Oreochromis niloticus: one gene and its partner. The main gene of each other region encodes a partner of the protein of the gene in region 2 in a complex. Links are inferred from orthologs where the notes say so. Each region holds a gene or a part of one and is shown on either strand. Other genes may lie near its edges.

Evidence for each region. The genes of interacting proteins can lie anywhere in the genome.
Region 1: coa1 (region 2) and smim20 share a complex: the UniProt entries of both Homo sapiens proteins name them as parts of the MITRAC (mitochondrial translation regulation assembly intermediate of cytochrome c oxidase complex) complex. The link is inferred for Oreochromis niloticus from reciprocal best matches to the Homo sapiens genes COA1 and SMIM20.

Annotation. Positions count from the first base shown.
Region 1 is NC_031967.2:19,539,820-19,546,840, forward strand, and holds smim20 (small integral membrane protein 20), read right to left. Parts: upstream 2,495-7,021; 5' UTR 2,429-2,494; coding exon 2,320-2,428; intron 1,811-2,319; coding exon 1,754-1,810; intron 1,104-1,753; coding exon 1,060-1,103; 3' UTR 911-1,059; downstream 1-910. Other genes in the region: man2b2 (epididymis-specific alpha-mannosidase), read left to right, coding at 2,659-2,793, 2,888-3,034, 3,170-3,275, 3,949-4,121, 4,213-4,328, 4,432-4,609, 5,159-5,357, 5,479-5,669 and 2 more.
Region 2 is NC_031982.2:1,695,067-1,702,825, reverse strand, and holds the start of coa1 (cytochrome c oxidase assembly factor 1 homolog), read right to left. Parts: upstream 3,372-7,759; 5' UTR 3,096-3,371; coding exon 3,038-3,095; intron 35-3,037; coding exon 1-34. Other genes in the region: uncharacterized protein LOC100710183, read left to right, coding at 3,828-3,906, 5,105-5,178, 5,441-5,596, 7,023-7,338, 7,526-7,724. UniProt on the Homo sapiens protein: Component of the MITRAC (mitochondrial translation regulation assembly intermediate of cytochrome c oxidase complex) complex, that regulates cytochrome c oxidase assembly.

The sequences.
Region 1 (7,021 bases), on a different chromosome or scaffold from region 2:
CTGGCCTGCGCTGTCAGTTTTGCTGGCAGCGGGCCTCGCGAATGGCCCTAAAAGCTCGAAAGTACAGGCTACATCGAGGACTGTGAAAGATTTAAGGGCAACTTTAAATATGCCCCATCTCTGAAGGACCATAAACACATGCTTTAGTTCTTTCTTAATCTATCTTTCTTCCAGAAGGACTTTGATGGACCAAACTCTGAAAGGGGGATGCTGGTCAATGTCAGGAAACCACAAAAGTACAGGGGGGAAAAAATGGTAGTTTTGGAATTCTCTGCTTTTACAGCACCCGTGGACTCGTAAAGGGAGTCTGGATCACATCGAGTAGGATTTGAACAAGACGATCGTGGAGCCGTGCCCCGTCCTTTCAGCCTATGGGCAAAACATAGCCGGTCACATGTCATTTAAACAGCAACAGTTAAACCCTGCCTGCGTGACAGGGAAATGATAATACAGAGTGATGTGTCCTGGAATAACTCTGTCTCTACTGTTTCCATTTTGGAAGATGATACCGCACATTGCTGGACATTGTCCCTCATCTGCTGAACCGATTTAATGACTCTCGCATCAACTAAATCAAAATAAAATGTCAAAAGGGATTCCTGTGAATGAGATGGGTAAACAAACCACTGCATTTTATTATAATTTCCTACAGGCTGCATACCAGAGCAAAGCTTTTTTGGAAATACAATGGTTTTTCCAAAATATCTCAGATGCACAAACAAGACATTACACAGTCCACTGCCTTTAGCGGGAACACACAGGAGTGGTGCGCCCTCATGTGGGCAACAGGAGACCAGCAGGCTTTAGGTTGAATTTAGGGTAAAAACAAAACAGTCATTGTTTTGTATCTGTGCTTCTGTGTAGCTAGCCGTCCTCCATCCAAACACAATATAAAAAAAAGATATCCACGTTTGGGTTCTTAAGTAGTTGATTATAGTTTATTTAACAGGTAACTTATCACTCAACAGTCATTCACTCACGCACACCAAGCACATATCAAAAAGACACTCTGTACTCAGAGTCTGCAGCAGCGTCTCAGTGAAGGGGTCACTGTGGTCATCATTTGCTTGCAGGCTTGAATGGATCAGACCATATCTTCATACCTTCAGACAAAAAAAAAGAGACACAGAGACAGAGAGCTCTCATTAATAATAATCACACACATATATAGACTGTATCAGTCTATCAGTCATGGATTGGCCTCCAGATGCTGGACCTCAACATTGCTGAAGTAGTGTGAGATCGTCTTAACAGAGAACAGAACAAAAGGCAGAAACATCCAAAGAGGGGGTTTAAATGTCCTTCAAGAAGCCTGAAGAACTATTCCTGAAGACTACTTAAAGAAATGACAAGAAAGCTAACTTGAGGCAACTGCTGTTGTGATTTAGTGCTATATAAATAAAATTGAATTGCGTAAGAGTGTTCAGGCTGTGATGAAGAATTTAGTGGTCATACTAAATACTGACTTTCAAACTCATTAGGATTGTACAAACTCTGTTTTTGCCTTTATATACTGTAATTCCATGTATGTTTGCACAATACCTTACTGAAGCCGTTTCCCATTTTTGTTGCAAAATATAAAGAAATGAGGAGTGTTTTAAGACCTTTGCACAGTACTGTACTTGAGAGAAAATATAACAATAGCGATCCCCTTTACTCTTAAGATATATGTTGTAATTCATGAATTTTTATGTACAGTATGCAAGCTGTACAAACAAGCTGATAACAGATCAAATCTACTAAGCACACTTACCCGCCGGCTGCACATCTGCCTGGTTGATCCCTGCCCGGTTCACCTTTTGGACTTCTCCTAGCAAGGACAGAACAACATAGCAATTTAGGTAAACGTATGAAAAAAAACAACAACAACTTGCAGCTAAAGTCACTGATATAAACAATTTCCTTTCCTAAAGCTGATTATTACCAGTTTCTACTGTCTTCATGTCCCATGTATGTCAAGACGACAGCTCTCCATGTACCTGATAATGACTATATTTGTCTTAGCTGACATAACTCCCTTTAAAACAGGGAAGAAATGTAGTAGTAATAAATAAGCTGGATTTATTCAAGTCAAATAATGTTCATGATCACCTTTGACTCCAACAGGCGCTCTAACTGAATGTATGGGTTTGTTAAATGAGTTACCTCAATGGCACTCTTTAAGCTAGCTAAGCTAAACAAGCCTACACGGACTGCTTATCATTTGTGTAGTAAAGTGACATTTAGCTCAGCCGTAACTAAGGAGAATTATAAACGACATTAGGCCAGGCTTTATAAACTAATTGTGTAACTAAATGAAAGCAAAGAAAGCGTACTCACTGTACTCGTCTTTGTGTGTGAGGGGGTAAAAAAATATGGGGTAAAACGCGGCAGCAACGGCCGTCACAAACCCTCCAAACACCAACATTATTCTCGTGTTTTTAGACATTTTCTCTGCTGGGTAGAAAAATATCGCTCTCGCCTCCAAATGTGCGCACTGTTTACACTGACTGCTTCCGGTGAAAAGGTCACCTGAGCCTTTAAAAAAAAAGGCGACACGACAAGTCGGCGGTTTGGTGTGTCTGGGCTTCCGTCGTCAGAGTCACATGCCGCAGCACAACAATAATAAGGAAGTCGGCGAAGTTATCTAAGCCGTCTTCTCTCGTATGGGATTCAAAAATGGGATTTGTAGCGGCTGTCGTGTTTGCTGTTTGCTGCTGGTTCTCGCATGGAGTGGCAGGGCAAGAAGAGCCGATTCAGACATTTGTGATCCCTCACAGTCACATGGATGTTGGCTGGGTGTACACTATCCAGGTAGGTGTCTTTAACCCGGCTTTAAACTTGAGATGCATTTAACGCGCAGGTTGGGCTTTAATCTGGGTAAATGTGTTTATAAATGTGAGTGCAGGAGAGTATGCACGCCTATGCAGCTAATGTGTACAGCAGTGTGACTGAGGAGCTGTCAAAGGTTAAAGAGCGCAGGTTCATCGCTGTGGAGCAGGAGTTTTTCCGTCTCTGGTGGGACACCGTGGCCTCGGACACACAAAAGAAACAGGTGAGGCCATGTATTCACGGCTACCTGACTGTGGAGGGCACACGATAATGCCCCAAAAATGAAACATCCAAGCTGTTTTCTCTCAGATTAACCCTGCTGTGTTTTTTGTGCACATGCCTCTCTCTTTCTCTCCAGGTACGACAGCTTATCAAAGAAGGTCGTCTTGAGTTCATCATCGGAGGTCAAGTGATGCACGATGAGGCTGTAACTGACCTGGACGATGACATCTTGCAGATGATGGGTAACGCCACACACGTCCTGCTCCTTCAGTCCACAGCTGCAGCAATAACTTACAGTGGTTCTAAAAATGTGAACAATTCCTGTTAAAATGTCAGGTTTTTGTTGTTAAAACAAAAATAAGACCACAATAAACCATCACAAAAACCCGAGATTTTAACAGGGGTGTGTACAGTTTAGTTTTATTTATATAGCACCACAGTCACAACAACAGTCACCTCAAGGTGCCTTATATTGTAAGGTAAAGACCCTAGAGCAGGGGTTCCCAATCCCAGTCCACGAGGGCCGGTGTCCCTGCAGGTTTTAGATGCGTTCTTGATCCATCACAGCTGATTTAAATGGATAAATTACCTTCACAACATGTCTTGAAGTTCTCCAGAGGCCTGGTAATGAACTAATCATGTGATTCAGGTGTGTTGACCCAGGATGAGATCTAAAACCTGCAGGGACACCAGCCCTCGTCGACTGGGATTGGGGACCCGTGCTCTAGAGTAATAGTGAGAAAACCCCAATGATCAAGTGACAGCATATAAGTAAGTGCCTGGTGACAGCGGGAAGGAAAAACTCCCCTTTGGCAGGAAGAAACCTCCAGCAGAACCAGGCTCAGGGAGGAACACGCACTGTGCATTTGTTATAGCCACAGTATATAGTAACCAAGAACCTCCCTGCTGTTTCAGAGGGTCATGGCTTCCTGTATGAGACGTTTGGGGTGCGTCCTCAGTTCTCATGGCATGTGGATCCTTTCGGAGCCTCTGCCACCACCCCTGTACTGTTTGCCCTGGCTGGATTCAATGCACATCTCATCTCTCGCATTGATTATGACCTTAAGGATATCATGCAGAAAAACAAGGTAACTCAACATAAAAATAAAAGACGCATGGTCGTCTCAATCTGTGGTCCAAATATTTATAGCTAATCTAGTTTTATGTTTCCTAACACAGAAACTGCAGTTTGTATGGCGAGGCTCTCCCTCGTTGAAATCACAGCAAGAGATCTTCACTCACACCATGGACCAGTTCAGCTATTGCACTCCATCCTACCTGCCGTTCTCCAACTGGTGCTTCATTTTTAGCTTCTCTGCTGCTTTATGTTACATTTGTGGTCGTCATTAATAAGATATATCTTTAATAACCATTCTTGTTCTTCCTCATATGTCTCAGTTCCGGGTTTTATTGGAATGGAGTTGCCTTGTTTCCGGACCCACCTAAAGATGGAGTTTACCCCAACATGAGCCTACCCGTGACCAAGGAGACAGTCCATGCTTACGCCAAGACCATGGTGGAGAACATCAAGCAGAGAGCAGCGTGGTTTAGAACTAATCATGTACTTTGGCCATGGGTAAGTCAAAAGGAACTGTAAAACCATCCATCCACCTTGTATCAAATCCAAGTAACAGCCTCAAGGTATTAAAAATGCAGTTCCCGAAAAGGCCCTAAAAAAGGCGAGCTCCAAAAAGTGAGTAAATCCTCACAAACCCCTGTGTAGAAGTGTCAAACTTCAGGTTAAAAGCATGTTTAAAGCTTGTAAAGCAAAACAAAAGAACTTTTGTTGTTTTTGAACTACTTTTAAAGATGTTATCTGACAAATAATGTTGCTTGGTGTGGGTAACGGCACCAATAAACCATAAAAGAAGCTATCTTTTATTTGACCCTAATCAAGCTAGATATTGTAAGCTGATGACTTACCACTTCGCTCTCTTTTCCAAATAATGATCTGTTACAAAGAAAAAATGGGAAACTTCAAAATGAAGTTTCAAAGTAGGACTCTACTGTGGAAGTGTCCATCTTTTATATACAGTCTATGGTAAACGTATCTAAGGTTTGGGACAAAATGTGGGAGTTATTTTTGTGAAACAGCCCACTCACATGTGCGATCGTCATGTTGTAGGGTTGTGACAAACAGTTCTACAACTCATCAGTACAGTTCAACAACATGGACCCTCTGATGAAGTACATCAACCAGAACAGCAAAGAGTTTGGGGTAACAGTCCAGTACGCCACTCTGAGTGAATACTTCCAGACCATCTACCAATCAAATCTAACCTGGGAGGTGCGTGGGAGTGAAGACTTCCTGCCATATTCAACTGGTAAGAAATCGATATCAAAACAGTGAGGAGTGCTCTTTATATAGAGTACTGTGTATTTGAAAACAGGAAACGCTGTCTCGTACAAACTTCATGTAAATTGGAAATGTGTCGCACTTTTTAGAGCCCTACCAGGCATGGACGGGGTTTTACGCCTCCAGAAACGTCCTGAAAGGCGTGGCGCGACAGGCCAGCTCCAGGCTGTACGCAGCAGAGACCCTCTTCACCCGCTACCGAATCAGCTTCCCAGATGGACCTGTGGCCAAGGACTGGGCCCTGGACAAACTCAGAGCGCTGCGCTGGGCTGTTTCTGAGGTATTCCTGAAACATAGTGAGATAACAAATACTGCAAAACATTGAAGGTGCAGTAAATATATATGGATTAGAAGGCAACGCAATCATCATGCTAAATACTTCTCTGTAATTAAGTTCAAACATTCAGTTGGTAGTGGTTTGGTATTCCAGGTGCAGCATCATGATGGCATCACTGGCACGGAGTCTCCCAAAGTGGCTGACATGTACCTGCAGCATCTCCTGCAGGCCATGATGGGAGCAGAGGAGCTCCTAGCTGCTCTCTTTCTGCTGCCCCACAACCTCCAGAGTCCCAGCATCCTTGGCGAGCGCTACCCTACAAAAGGTTTCAATAATCTGATATTTCTGCAGTGCTTCCACTTTAAAAAAAAAAACAAACTGTTTTTATAATAATTAACTGAGCTAAACAGAGCATGTTAGCCAGTGCATGTCTTTGCATGTAAAAGTAAAAAAGGAAGTAAACTGCTCATCGATTTGCTCTGTAGCAGATATTGAGCAGACTTTGGAGCAGCATGTCATCGTTTATAACCCTTTGGCGTGGAACATCACCACGATCGTCAACGTAACCGTGACGCAGCCGAGCGCAGCCGTGTTTGATGATGATGGACAGCCTGTCCCTGCTCAGGTACTGTTGTTTTGATGCTGGTAACCATTGTGTAATGGTGTTTTGTTTTTTTTAATATGTTGATAGGTGAATGGGAAATATGTGCAGAGATTTACAGAAATGTGCAAACATGCATGAAAATGCAGTATTGGATGGGGGGTATCATCACTTTTATAATAGATGGAGTACCTGCTGGTCCTGATGCATCTCTCAGGTGCTCTAAAAGGTCTTTACTGGGGTTTTTGCATATTTCTTAAGGTTATGATTTTCAGATACTCTTCATCTGCTGAAAGCTTTTAAGACCTTTGTCCTGCATTTATTCAGTTTCCTTAAATTCTTTAAGGATGTACTGAGATATCATGTTGAGATATGCCACGTTTTCTGCTAATATCTCTTTGGGGATCATCTTGTTGGTGCAAAAATACTGTGTTATCTTTGACATTTATCATGGATTCAACTAAATAAATGGGGAAAAAATACTAGATACTATTTTTTTTTTTTTTTTTTTTTAAAGAGGAGTGACTCAACACTTTTGCACAGTACTGTATATTGATAGTAAACAATGCTAAAGCACAGTGTATCAGCAAGTATAGAAGCATCTACATAGCTAAAGTTGGTAGCATTAGCCATCAAGTCTTTTTTAATTATATTAGAACAACTAAGAGTCAAAGAGTCAAGTGATTCATTTTTCCTGAATGAGCAATTTTATCTGCATTTGTATGTATTAATCTCAACTCTTCCCCTGTCTGTT
Region 2 (7,759 bases):
TGACTGTTGGAAATCCTCATGCTTGCTTTCTTTCCTGCAAAGAATGACAATGATCTGGTCGGTATACAGAGAGCATCGGTGTTTTAATAAGGAAGTATTCATGATTTGCCGTGAATTCTGTGGTGACTTTAGAAAACAATCTAAAAGTTTCTGAGAGGCTTAAGTCTTACACATTTCCAATTTTCTGAAAAAGAAAAAACATGTTTTGTCATTTTTAATAGCAAAAAATATGGTGACGCACTGACCCTCTCTCCTACGCACATACAGTTGGACAAGTACTATTAATATCACCGCCTGCATCCATGAGACAGTTCAGCTAATGATGGTAAAGGTTGCCAACACACAAAGACACATACATGCACATACATAATCCATCACAAAGTGCACCATAAGAATAACCACTCCATATCCAAATAACTGTGAATACATCCAATACATATAGCTATAAAGTCAAGTATGGTTCATGCTTTTGATTTTTTCCCTTATTTTCAGTCATGTATCTACTGTTTTTATGGTGGATGCTAAGATTGAACATGTCCAAAGCTAGCACAGGTAGAGAGGAGGTGATGGTGCTGTACGAGTGGTGCCTGGAAATAACCCGTCTCTTAACATCAGCAAAACCAGAGAAATGATAGTGGACTACCGGAAACGACCAGTCGGGGAACACCAGCCCATCCACATCAACGGTGTCAAGGTCGAAAGGGTCAGCAGCTTCAAATTCCTTGGAGTCAACATCACTGAGGACTTCTCCTGGACCCTTCACACAGACACTGCTATCAGGAAAGCTCGCCACCGACTCTACTGTCTGAGGAGGCTGAGGAAGTTTGGCATGAACGCCAACATAACCTCAAACTTCTACAGGTGTGCGATCAAGAGCTTGCTGATGAGCTGCACTACAGTTTGGTTCGAAGCTGCTCTGCCAGCAGCCGGAAATCTCTACAGAGAGTGAAAGCAGCAGAGCATGAGGACTCCTGTCATTCAGGATCTATCTTCAACGGTGCCTCCGTAAAGCACACAGCATCATCAAGGACCACAGCCACCCAGCACATCAGCTGTTCTCCTTGTTACCATCTGGCAGACGTTACAGGAGTCTGTCTGCTCCGACTACAAGACTCAAAAACTGTTTTTACCACCAAGTCGACATCTCAACCACAACACTTCACAGGATGCACACAGCTGTTCTGCAGTTTCACAGGTACATAATACACTCAGCACTGGTCACCCCATTTTTATTTTTTTTATTACTATTTCAATAAAAATAAAAACCCTCACTCTTACTGACCCTTAACCCTTACTATACTGCGGAGTGACTGTCTTCTGCTCGTCAAATACATTTTGATCCTGTGCTAACTTCTATATGACAAATAAAACGGAAACTGATGAGCCAAAATGTTAGGCTCAGCCTGGCAGCATTATATCAGCGCAAGTGGATCTCCCTAAAATGGTCAGACTGAGGATGAAAACAATGGCTGCACCACGATAATAAGGAAGTTTAACTGCAGCTGAGAGTCTCTGTTTAGCTGACATGCAGAGGCCTAAGAAGGTCAAACTCATGGAGAGAGAGAAGACGAACGCTTCTTTTCTTCTTTATGGGGTTTATTGGTGGTTGGCAAACAGCAAAATGGTGCATTACCGCCACCAACTGGCGTGGAGTGTGGACCGAAATGACAAAAAAAAAATACAAAAATTTAAATCTTCCCAAACAAATGGGTCTGCCTTAAAAACCAAAATACAGCCTGATTATTTTCACTTACAGAGTTTGTACGAAATAAATCAATCAAGTCCAACTTGACTCTCATATCATCCAGCTTTTTGATCAGTTGTCTTCTTTCAACATCATACTTTGACAATGCAACAAAACGTTCTATTGTTTCCTGTTCCCTACTGCAGTCACACTCCCCTGTACAGTGTTTTCCTATTAAAAGTAATGTGCTATTCAAACCAGTGTGTCCGAATCTAAGTCGAGATACAACCGTCTCCTCTCTCCTGTTTCTTCCTGTACATCTCATTTCTCCTACTTTCCTTTGGATTTTGTAAAACCATCGGCCTTTCCTCTCTTCCTCCCATTGCTTTTGCCACCTTTCCTTCATTTTGTATCGTATTCTACTCTTGATCTCTGTCCTACTAACACTAATAACCATATCCATCATTGGTCTCCTTGTTGCTTCTTTTGCTGTCCTATCTGCTGTTTCATTTCTGCTGATACTCATAAGAATGTGACCATAAGCCCCATCATAACAGTTCTGAATAATGTTTGCTGGATCTCTATCAGAATGTCAGGTCTGCATTCTGAGTGATTGCCTTGCAAACCAGCCAGTGATGAGTTCGAGTCCGAGCGTATCACAGATCTTAGTGGTCTGGTTTCTTCAGTCCACTGGACAGCTAACAATATTGAAACCATTTCTCCTGTGTACACTGATAAATCGTCACTGATCCTTTTCCCGACCTTGATATTAAACTCAGGAACAATAAATGCTATCCCGCTTTGGTTGGCTGTATTCTTTGATGCATCTGTGTAGATTTTTCAAACTGTCTACAGAAGCAACAAGTAAATAAGTATAGTTAGGGTGACCATATTTTGATTTCCAAAAAAAGAGGACACTTGGCCCAGTCATGAAGAACTTTAATAATACTGTTTGCTTAAAGAAAACATATTTAAATGATGCCTTCTCTGTGCGGTAAAAGGTGAAATAAAAAGTGTCATAAAAGCTTTTACAAGTCAACAAGTGCAAAAAAAGAGGACAGTTGGTCACCCTAAGTATAGCTAAGCACACGGGGTTTGAAAAACTAACACTTTTCTTTTTTAAATATAATTTGCTTCTTGAGGAAGGGAAACGAGGACAAAGGGCTGAGATGTCCAGTTTGCTGAAACACATACACTGCATGTCAAGGTTATCTTCTATATATGTCTAAATGTCGTTATTCACTTGAAAGAAAATGATATTTAAATAGCTAAGGTGTGTCACAGTTCAAGGGCTGCATCCGTGGATACAACTATAACACCACACGCCGGTCACACATCTACACAAACACTCACCTTGCGTTACGGCGGACCATTGTATTCGCTCTACATCCGTTAACGTCACAAAACACATAGCCAATCGGTTGTGGGTGCGCTTTATTAAACAGCCGGTTGCGCCCGTCGTCGCTTGTTCGCGCAGGCGGTGTTTATCCAAATATGATATTAGATCCTGTCGGGCATGATTCAGTGAGACTCTTTGCAGAAAGAAGCTGAAGCTGGAAGCCGTCCTTTACCGCAGTACTACATGAGACCTGTTTATGGTGGTTCATCAGCAGCACAGCGCGTCTCACCACCGTCCCTCTGGCCTCATACATGTCCTGCATCACCCTCACATGTCACTCCTGACTCCTTCGTGTAGTACCAGTTCCACTCTCTGTACTTTATCATCTGATTTCTTATGGGGTTTAAAAGAAGCCAGCTTAAAATGAAACTAAAAAATATTGGCATTGAAAAATAATATTGTAACTAAAATAAATAAACAGAAACATTTTGTATTGAAAGTGAAAAAAGACTCATTGAAACTCTAAATATAGACATTAAAACAAATAACTCCTGACCAAGTCTATGGGCTCAAAATGTGGTCATAAATATTTTGTACTTGTAAATCAGGATTTGTATGTGTAAAAAAAATTTGTGTGTGTGTAAAAAAGATTTGTGTGTGGACTTAGCCAAAAAAACCCTGCAAGTTACAAGTACGAATTTTGACCCTATTTTTCTTCCTTTAAGCTGATTGGTCAATGTCATGTCAATCACAAATTAAATAATCCAATCAGAGAACAGATGGGTTTGGCTGACGGGGGGCGGGATGCTTTACGGACCTTCAGGTCCTGGAAGGGTAACACAATTTGAAGATGGAGGGCAGCGGTGGCGCTTCTGCGGCGCAAGTAAGCTTTAATTTATGGTTTACTGGAACAAGCTAATTGTCCAGACATATATTTTTGAATATCATGTTCGGTTCGGTGCCAAAAGCTAGCCTAAAAAGGGCTCTCAACATTAGCCCTAGTGTTGCATGTGTTCAAATAGTCTCCTGTGTGGCACGGTCTGTCTGCTTAAACATCAGCATCGTGGAGAATTATGTGTTTGGAGTTTAATCCCGATGAGATGTCGTTTTGGTAATAATTGGAACTGAAATGCTCTGACTTGACCTTAGCACTGGTCCCAGGTCACCCCCGAGTTTGTGTTAGAGTAATACTACAGTAATTACAGCACACAACAACTTTCAGCAGCTACTGAAAGTTAGGGGACCTAGCTTCAGTGAGCGTTTTGGGATTTATGACAGCTTATAGGCAGCGACATTAAGAAGTACTCTGTCATACAGTACCAGATTGACCAAGAATGCTTCTGTAGTAACTGTAGTGCAGTGTCTGTCTGGTGTCAGTAAGCTAACGTCTGTTGATATTTGCTTTACTGGATGTGTCTTGTTCAAAATTTTAAGAAGGAATTCAGGAGAAAAAGATTTAAAAAGATTGAATTTGCTTCAGCAGTTGAAATTACAAGTTTATAGTGCCAGCCTTTTGTGTGAACCAGCTTCCCAAAAAGGATAATGCTGAAACGGGCTTTACAGCTTATATACTGTGACATAAAAACAGATGCTGATTCTAAGGCCCAGTTCAGGGCATCTTGTTCAGACTCCCTAACCCAGAGACTAATCTAACCATTATCGTGTGTTTGTAAGCATGCTGCAAAAAACCCCTCTGCACTCTGTGTCCCTGCAATATTTCAAATACAGCGCTGAATGACGCTCTCAACCTTCAAACATGGAGTGCCAACATGCTTATGAGCACATTTGCATTGTGTACATCTTAAAAAAATAATGAAACAGCCTTATTTAATAATTTTGTAAACTTGTAAATAAATTTTCAACCCTAACAGATGTCAAATGTGTTTAGGGACTTTTAAAGTCTTTCTTCATCGGGTTATGTGTTTTGAAGTGTGCTATACTAAATTTGTGGGTCATCTGTGTCATCATGGGAACATCCACGGGGTACTTCAGAGAGAACCCTTCTAAATAGGAGAGTGTATGATACATCCATAGAGAAACGTGTAAATCTTTGAAAATTGTCTGATTGTTTTACTTAACAGGTGACTGTAAATCAAGTGGACCTTGGTCTATCTCCCTCCAGAACAGAGAACCTGGATGTCCCTGTGACTCTTTGGTGAGTTCATTTTTTTTTCATTATTAAAGTAATGTTGTTTGAATTTTTTGAATATAGCAAGGTGGCACAGGATAGAACATATTTAAAAATAATTTTTAATGCAATTCAGTTTCTTTACTGTATTACAAAGTTAATCAAAATAAAAAGATTTTCATGAGAATATTATTTGGTTTTATTGAGTTTTACGCAGTTTGACATATCATTGTTCCTTCAATGCACTTCATATGATATCAGTAATTCCATCAATTTTTTCTTCTTTCAGGTGGCTTTAGGAAGACATGTTTTCCAAAACCTTCAAAATAGGCTGGTGCAGTCCTACCAACAGCAGCCCTTGGACCTTGATCATATTGAGTTCCTCTGCGTGAACGCATCAACTCTAGTCTGTTCTCTTTCTGCTCATATTAATGTTCCATCACTGGTAGGTTTATTTGATTTAGTTTTGGTTATCTTTAAAAATCGTTTCAATATATGCCATTCTTATGTATCTTATAATGTTAATTTTACAGTGTAGTAATTATGCTATACAAATAAACCTGTCATCCATTGCTTTGTTAAATCCAAGATGAAATTTTGTTCTGTGTTTCAATTAGAGCTGGGCAATAAAACGATAACGATATGTATTGCGAAATAACTTTTTCTCGATAGAAAAATTAAACTATTGCGATAGGCCTCATCTCTCTTGTCCTCTTAAAAAAAAAGAAAAAAAAGAACAGCCAATCAAAATTAAGTAGCGCAGAGCCGAACCAATCACAGCCGCAGCGTCACGTCACGTGACTTGTTACGTACAGCACAAGCGCCAAGGCGCACATGTGTATTTGTTTTTGCAGCCGTGCAGCCCGGGTAATGAAGGAAGTGAGTGTGCCGACTAGAGAAAAATCAACCGAGAGCGTGAGCGAAGGTTACCGAAGAAAAAACAGATGATGGTTCCAATGCCGGAGAGCTTGTCGAACGGAAGGGCCACAGAAGTTCCGTAGTGTGAAGGTATTTCGGCTATTTCAAGTCTGACAAAAAACAGAGTAGCGCGCACTGTAAATTGTGCCGAAAGCAAGTCTGGAAATACAATAAAGCGGTGCATGCTCAATCTCTGACTGAAAGCGCTGATTCGTCATTCGGCTTTTGTCAGACTAAAGTAACTGTTAAAACTGTTTGAAAAGCTAAGCTATACAACAAGGAGAGATTGAGAATTTCCTTTTAGTTCTCAGTTTATTTGATATTGACAAAAGTTAGTCAATTTTGTCTGTTCTTCTGTAAAACAAACTAAGATTTATTTTTAGAATTAATATTTTGTTTCTAAGTGGAATTGACAATTTAGTCTGTTTTGTTTGTTCTATTTTGAAACTTAAACGCTTTAGCGGCTGCCTTTTGTGTAGTTTGCAATATTTGCCTTTATTTATCTGAAACTGAAGTCTCATGTTCCTTAAGTACATCTACCCTGTTGAACTTAAATGGTAAATGGCCTGTATTTATATAGCGCTTTTATGGTCCCTAAGGACCCCAAAGCGCTTTACATATCCAGTCATTCACCCATTCACACACACATTCATACATAATACAACTTATTATGGGAAATAAATATTTAAATCAAAACAAGCTGCTGATTATTTCACATTTTACTTGTGAGTAACGGCACATTTAAAACTTACAAATATAGTTATTTGGCTTATATCGTGATATATATCGTTATCGCCTGAAATGAAAAAAACATATCGTGATATGAAAAAATCTTATATCGCCCAGCTCTAGTTTCAATATAAAGATTGGGGATAAGAATAATGTTACTAAGATGGTAAAACTGAATTCTAGGATTTCATCCAACTAAATATTTTAATGCAACCATTTTTTAGGTAGTTGAAGCTCTTCACCACCTTATCTGCCTCATCCATTCCAATATGGATACGAGAAGGTCTGCCATTGTTGTTGACAGCTCAGCTGGTGAACGGGGGAGGGCAAAGCTCTATGTTTCCAAAGACCACCTCAAAGATCTAATAAAGATGGACCTCTCCGTTCCTTGTATCTCCAAGCTTTTGGGCATATTGCAGAAAACAGTCCGACGAAGAATGGAAGAGTGGGGCCTCTCAATAACGGCAACCTACAGCTCACTATCAGATGATGAACTTGACAACTTAATTGCAGCCATAAAACAGGAATCGAAATGTCTGGGTTAGTTATTCATGTGAAAAATAATGCTTGTAATAAGATTCTATTTTATTTTTCTTGCTTGCAACCTTTCATATTTACATGAATAACACTAGCTGAATGTCATGATTAGTTAGTAGTTTGATTTACTGTACTATAAGTGCCTTCCAATGTGCTGTTGTAATTGTTTCACTATGGGATGTCTTTTTAGGCTACAGAATGGTTAAAGGACGCCTCAGGGCACTGGGCCACAGGGTGCAGTGGAACAGAGTATGGGATTCCATGCGTCGTGTTGACAGTGCTGGAATCCTTGAAAGGATGGCAAATCTTGGATGTGTTGTTAGAAGGACATACAGTGTTCCTGGTCCTCTGTCACTGCTCCACATTGACACCAACCATAAGTTAATTAGGTAAGTTTAACATAATAGTCATAGGGCACATTTGG